Linked DNA regions of Macaca fascicularis. The protein of the gene in region 1 interacts with the protein of each later gene in a biochemical or structural test. Links are inferred from orthologs where the notes say so. Each region holds a gene or a part of one and is shown in the gene's direction. Other genes may lie near its edges.

Region 1 (3,399 bases):
GGCGTGATCACAGCTTACTGCAGCCTTGACCTCCTGGGCTCAAGTTATCTTCCTACCTAGGTCTCCTGAGTAGCTGGGACTACAGGTGCATGCCAACATGGCCTGCTAATTTTTAAAATTTTTTTTGAAGAGACCAGGTTTCCTATGTTGCCCTGGGTTCAAGTGCTTCTCTCACCTCGGCCTCCCAAAGTGCTGGGATTATAGGTATGAGGCACTGCGCCTGGGCTGGACTGCTTTTTCCTATTCAGCCATATGTGGTTACTTACGATTTACATTAACATTAATTAGCTTTTTCCACCGTAGTCCATATTTGAGTATCTGCTCCAATAAGGTGGTAATTTTTCTTGTCCACATCTCAGGATAATTTTATTTTGTTTTTTATTATTTATTTATTTTGAGACAGGGTCTCGCTCTGTTGCCCAGGCTGGAGTTCAGTGGTTCGATCTCAGCTCACTGCAACCTCCACCTCCTAAGCCCAAGTGATCCTCCCACCTCAGCCTCCCAAGTAGCTGGGACCACAAGTGTGCACCACCATGCCTAGCTAATTTTTGTATTTTTTGGTAGAGATGGGTTTTGCCATGTTGCCCAGGCTGGTCTCGAACTCCTGGGCTCAAGCGATCCACCTGCCTCAGCCTCCCAAAGTGCTAGGATTACAGGCGTGAGCTACTGTGCCTGGGCTTCTCAGGATAATTTTAATTTTTTAAAAACTGATTTGGAATCATGTTTAAGGAACCATGTGGCTAGATTTTTTTGTTATACTTGGTAGTAGAGGTTGTGTAACTGAGATAATTGAAATTTGTAGCTAAATTTTTATTTGCTTGTTGTTCCAATCCACAGTTCTGACCAGAGGGGTAATAAGTATTTAAACAGACACAAAGTGAGGAGGGTTAAGACCTCTTCACTTAGATGATCTGGAAACTGGATTGACCAACCTGTGTATAATTGACTTATGCATAATTAATAGAGCTGAATGTAGGTTTGATTGGGTTCACTCACATGCTTGTATTCACAAATAAAAATTTTGGAAGCAGATTAATATTATTTATCATTCAGCTTTTTAACCTAAGCCTACCATGGTTTACATCTAAATTCTAGCTACAGACATCTGTTTCTGTATATTAGGTATTAATCCATTTACTTAAATTTCTTCTTGAAAATATTGAAAGGGTCCTTTTCACCTTGAAACCAAGGTGAGGAGGAAATCAAGTCAATTAAATCCGTATAATGACATAAACTTACGTCTGGACAGATTCTTTCACTCTTCCTCTCCTTTTAAATCTCATATTATTTCTCTCCAGGAAAGACACAGATGAAGCTGACCTGGTTCTTGCAAAAGAAGCTAACGTGAAATGTCCACAAATTGTGATAGCATTTTATGAAGAGAGACTGACATGGCATGCATATCCTGAGGATGCGGAAAACAAAGAGAAAGAAACAGCAAAGAGCTAAAGGAGGGGATGGTCTCTGTCATTTCTCTTTGTACATAATACATTCACCTCCCTGCCTCCTCTCCCTTCTACCCACCCCTTTCTATCCTAAACACATCCATAAAAAATGTGCTTATCACTGTGCTCCACAGGAGAAATGTTGGTATTGGTTCTCTTGTAACATAACTGATGGTCTGATTAATGATGAGTGTCTCTCTGTGAAGACCAGGCATTTACATACTGAGTGTAATACCCACAATTTTTTTTTCCTTTGCCCTGATCTCTTCCTTCTGCTCCCCTGTGACCTCAAGATGAGTTTTAACTTTTTAATCACCTTAGAGTCTTGATTTTTAGATTGGGGGATTTTGTCACAATGATGTTGAATTTTGGTTTCTTGCTTTGGTTCTTAGAACATGTTGCTGACTAGCTGGCCTTTGTTCTGACATGTTGAGATGGAAAGGATGTTGCCCGTCTGTTAAAAAGCCAATAGCAACTGCCTACCTGTTGGGGCTTTCCCAACCTTGTTCAGCTCTACCCAGGAGAATACAGGGTTTCTGGTGTGGTCTTCTGGGCCACCCTCTGTTGTTCATCCTCACTTATCCTCCCAGAATTACTCCATCCTTTGGAAGATTTGAAATTTTACACTGAAATTTGTCAAGACACTCTTTTTAGCCCCAGGACTTTTGGTCTTGCTTTTAGCACTCTCCACTTCTGCTTCTGTAAAGTGATATCAATTTGTGATAAAATGACAAGATTATTAACTGTGGAGATTTTTAGCTATAGTACATGAGGATGATGGGGTAGGGTACAATTGTCTTTATTATCACATATGGTATGTATGTATGATTTCTTTCCATTCCTCATATTTAGACTGTATATTTATGTAGGTGTGAGTGTTTGCCTGGTGCTTGCTTGTGCCAAGGTGCTAGGCACCCTCCAAGCCTGCCAACTTTTGTGGCCTCCCAAAGCATTCCTGTTACCAAAGAGGCTTCAAACCTGACCCTCACTTCTCAGTGGACCCGAGTTTCCCTTCCATGCCATTATTTTCAGTGGGGAAGTTTTAGAGGTGAGCTGTTGGCCACAATATCAATTTTAAGTATTCATAGCAGTTAAAAGTCTCTTGCATTCTTGGCTCCTGGATTTACCACCAAGAGTCCCCAAAATATTAATGCTCTTCCCTTTTTCTACCCTCAAACTTATAGTTGTATCTTATTTTTTAAAATGAATTTTCATGGCCCGGCACAGTGGCTACCACCTGTAATCCCAGCACTTTGGGAGGCTGAGGCAGGAGAATTGCTTGAAGCCAGAAGTTTGAGACCAGCCTGGGTAATGTAGTGAGACCCCTGTCTCTAAAAAATATAAATAAATAAAAATAAAGGCATGTTCCTAAAAGACTATCACCTTGGAAAGTGACAGGCCCTGGCATTATTAGCATGTTGACACAACCTTTTCTCCTTACTCAGCAAAATATTTCCTTTTGGTTTCTTCTTGTGTTGCTATTATATTGAGAAATTTGTCTGATCATATCCTTCTGCCTTTGTCCCCCAAGAAATGTCCTACTTTATCCTTTTCTTTTTGTGGTTGAGGAGGGCTAGAGAATCACAATTAGAAGTAAGGAAATAGCAGGGTTTTGAGGACCCTTGCCCCAGCCCCAAAGCTGAGGAAATAAGAATAAATGCTTAATATAGCCTTAATTCTAGAGTGCACCAGCCATGAGGCTGCTTTTCTTGTTGCTTTTGATTTTTAAAACATACAGCTGTCTGGCCAGGAGCATCCACCATTTCTAGATTATTCAGAGTAATGAGGGGAATGGATGGATTGCTCCAGTCCACAGATGAGCCACATAATATGCAAATCATATACCCATTCATAGCATTTGTTAACATTGCTTCCCTGCTCAGCTGCTGATTGAATTCTGTGTGCTTATATAAATTATGTCAAAAATTATACTGCATAATTGAGGTGACAGCTG
Region 2 (3,820 bases), on another chromosome or scaffold:
TAGACCAAAACTTGTCAACGGAAAGGGTCCCTTAGATAACTTTTTAGGAAACAGAGTCGAAACCAGTGTTGGCCAGAGCACAGTCATCATTGATTTGACAGAGGACTCAAATGAGCAGCCAGACAGTCTTGTGGACCACAATAAACTGAGTTCTGAAGCTTCTCCCTCCAGGGAAGCAGTAAATGGCAACCGAGAAGACACTAGGGATCAGCAGGGGTCGTTGAAGGCCAATCAGAACGACAAGTTGGCATTTCCTGGAGAGACCCTTTCAAACATTCCTTACAAAACAGAGGAGGAGGGTGTTGGCTGTGGAGGTGCAGGGAGGAGAGGTGACTCCCAGGAATGTTCACCACAGAGCTGCCCGGAGCTGACGAGTGGTCTGAGACTGTGCTCCAGAAAGGAGCAGGACAGTTGGAGTGAAGCTGGGGGCATCCTGTTCAGAGGGAAGGTGCCCATGGTGGTCTTGCAGGACATCTTGGCTGTGAGACCGCCCCAAACCAAGTCCCCTCCAGCCACACCCCAAGGCAAGGACATGACCCCTGAGAGCGGGGCGCTGGAATCTTGCCCTGAAGAAGACTCTGTACTCAGCCATTCGTCCCTGAGCTCTCCCTCTTCCACCAGCTCTCCCGAGGGGCCGCCTGCTCCCACAAAGCGACACAGCAGCACCAGTCCCTTCCCCACCTCCACGCCCGTGCGCAGAGTGAGTATCTCCCATGGAGTCCCTACACATCAGTGCTCATGGATCTCAGAGCACGCTGTCAGTCTCCACCGGGTCACCCAGCTGGTCTGTGGCAGAGTGAGCGGGGCCACAGGCTGGGTCCTGGGACTCGACACGGAGTTCTTGTATCAAAACTCAGTGTTCGGTTCTGCATTCGTTGTGATGCGCCTGGGACTTAATTCATCAACAGTGTACCTGGTGTACTGTGTGGATAACACCCTGCTGTTTTGCCTTCGTTGTTTACATCTAATTAGTGATAGCTTAGCCATTTTAGGGAATTAGGATCTGAGCTGGTGCTGTAACCCCTCACTTGAGATTCCAGGTCCAGCTCTCTCTGTGCCCCTCCCATCCAAGCATAGAACTGTAGGGATGGGGCTATGGAGGCATTGAGCACTGAAGTGGCAGTGAGACGGCAGGAAGCATGACATGGGGAATTCTGTAGAGTCAGCACAGCCACCCATCTAAAAAACCTCACCTGGGGCCAGGCGCAGTGGCTCATGCCTGTCATCCCAGCACTTTGGGAGGCCGAGGTGGGAGGATCGCTTGAAGATCAAAACCAACCTGGACAACAAAGACACCATCTCTACAAAAAAAAAAAATTATTTTTATTTTTTTGACAGAGCCACTCTATCACCCAGCCTCTGGAGTTCAGTGGCGTGATCTCTGCTCACTGCAACCTCCGCCTCCCAGGTTCAAGCGATTCTCCTGCCTCAGCCTCCCTAATAGCTGGGATTATAGGTGTGCGCTACCACACCTGGCTAATTTTTATATTTTTAGTGGAGACAGGGTTTCACTATCTTTGCCAGGCTAGTCTTGAATTCCTGACCTCAAGTGATCTGTCCATCTTGGCCTCCCAAAGTGCTGGAATTACAGGCATGAGCCACTGCACCCAGCCCTGCAAAAAAAATTTTTTTAATTATCCGGGCATGGTGGCACATGCCTGTAGTCCCAGCCACCTGGGAAGCCGAGGCAGGAGGATCACTTGAGCTGAGGAGTTGGAGGCTGCAGCGAGCTGTGATCACACCACTGTGCTCCAGCCTGGATGACAGTGAGACCCCATCTGGAACCATTTTTAAGGACCCCATAAGAGGGACTTTTGCATGGACTGTTTCTGTTACTGTTTTTTTATTAGCACGATGGTGTCCTTAGGATCTTATGGACCAAACTGATAAAATCAGTCACAAGTTCCATGCTGTGTTTAATGGTGTCTTTTTTTGGTTTATATATTTTTACTTTTTATCTTAAGTATGTAGAACCAGAAGAGACAGTGCCTTTTTTTTGTTTTTGGTTTTGTAGCACTTTTGTTTGTTCATGCTGGTTCTTTATATGAGAGTAGATCCTGAGATGGGTCATTTAATCTCTACCTGTAAGCAGGTACAGTAGACCACCTGGACTATAAACCACCAACCTTGTTCGCTTTTGGGATTTTGAGCTCTAAGGAACCATTTCTTTTTCTTTCTTTCTTTTTTTTTTTTTTTTTGAGACGGAGTCTCGCTCTGTTGCCCAGACTGGAGTGCAGTGGCCGGATCTCAGCTCACTGCAAGCTCCGCCTCCCGGGTTTACGCTATTCTCCTGCCTCAGCCTCCCGAGTAGCTGGGACTACAGGCGCCAGCCACCTCGCCCGGCTAGTTTTTTGTATTTTTTAGTAGAGACGGGGTTTCACCGTGTTAGCCAGGATGGTCTCGATCTCCTGACCTCGTGATCCACCTGTCTCGGCCTCCCAAAGTGCTGGGATTACAGGCTTGAGCCACCGCGCCCGGCCTCTTTTTTTTTTTTTTTTTTTTTTTTTGAGACAGTCTTGCTTTGTCACCCAGGCTGGAGTGCAGTGGCGCCATCTAAGCTCACTGCAACCTCCGCCTCCTGGATTCAAGCAATTCTGCCTCAGCCTCTCAAGTAGCTGGGATTAGAGGCACCCGCCACCAGGCTCAGCTAATTTTTGTATTTTTAGTAGAGATGGAGTTTTGCCATGATGGCCAGGCTGGTCTTGAACTCCTGACCTCAGGTGAGGGGAGGCCTTGGCCTCCCAAAATGCTGGGATCACAGGCTTGGCCGGGACCATTTATTTTTCCGAATGACATCATTTCTTTTTTTTTTTTTTTTTTTTTTTTTTTTTTTTTTTTTGAGACGGAGTCACGCTCTGTCGCCCAGGCTGGAGTGCAGTGGCGCGATCTCGGCTCACTGCAAGCTCCGCCTCCTGGGTTTACGCCATTCTTCTGCCTCAGCCTCCTGAGTAGCTGGGACTACAGGCGCCCACCACCGTGCCCGGCTAATTTTTTGTATTTTTAGTAGAGACGGGGTTTCACCGTGGTCTCGATCTCCTGACCTTGTGATCCGCCCGCCTCGGCCTCCCAAAGTGCTGGGATTACAGGCGTGAGCCACCGCGCCCGGCCGACATCATTTCTTGTCTTTCACTTCAGAGGAGGCAAAAGGAAAAAATGACTTCCTCTTTAGGTTCATGAAATGTTGATTAAAAAATGGAGCAAATTTTTTTTTTTTTTTTAGACATGGTCTCACCCTGTCGCCCAGGCTGGAGTGCAGTGGCATGATGTCAGCTTACTGCAACCTCCACCTTCTGGGTTCGAGAGATTTTCCTGCCTTAGCCTCTGAGTAGCTGGGATTACAGGTGCCCACCACCATGGCTGGCTAATTTTTGTATTTTTTTGGGTAGAGAACAGGTTTCACCACGTTGGCCAGGCTGGGCTCAAACTTCTGACCTCAAGTGATCCGCTCGCCTTGGCCTCCCAAAGTACTGGGATTACAGGCATAAGCCACTGCCCCGGTCTTCTTTTTTTGTGTGTGCTGGTTTGTTATATAGGTAAACTCTTGTCATGGAGGTTTGTTGTACAGATTATTTCATCACTCAGGTACTAAGCCTAGTACCCTTTTCTAAGATGCTAAATGTGCCAGACTGGGATGTACACATTTCAACTTCTACCTAAGGCACCACACAGTCTCCCAAAATCAGAGTTGAAGTCTTTCCCCATTGGCCATCCTGTAGTGTACATTCGATCACTTTAATTTCTTCCAGGCTGCTGCCGCTTTGCAGAATTTCGTCCTGTGGTGTGTTGCAGCCGTTTAGCAAGAACAGGACACATGGCCGGG

Evidence for each region.
Region 2: the proteins of CBX5 (region 1) and CHAF1A form a complex in vitro, tested with the Homo sapiens proteins (2 studies listed by BioGRID). The link is inferred for Macaca fascicularis from reciprocal best matches to the Homo sapiens genes CBX5 and CHAF1A.

Annotation. Positions count from the first base shown.
Region 1 is NC_088385.1:61,082,205-61,085,603, reverse strand, and holds the end of CBX5 (chromobox protein homolog 5), read left to right. Parts: intron 1-1,298; coding exon 1,299-1,449; 3' UTR 1,450-2,836; downstream 2,837-3,399. UniProt on the Homo sapiens protein: Component of heterochromatin that recognizes and binds histone H3 tails methylated at 'Lys-9' (H3K9me), leading to epigenetic repression. In contrast, it is excluded from chromatin when 'Tyr-41' of histone H3 is phosphorylated (H3Y41ph).
Region 2 is NC_088393.1:5,149,417-5,153,236, forward strand, and holds part of CHAF1A (chromatin assembly factor 1 subunit A), read left to right. Parts: coding exon 1-700; intron 701-3,820. UniProt on the Homo sapiens protein: Acts as a component of the histone chaperone complex chromatin assembly factor 1 (CAF-1), which assembles histone octamers onto DNA during replication and repair.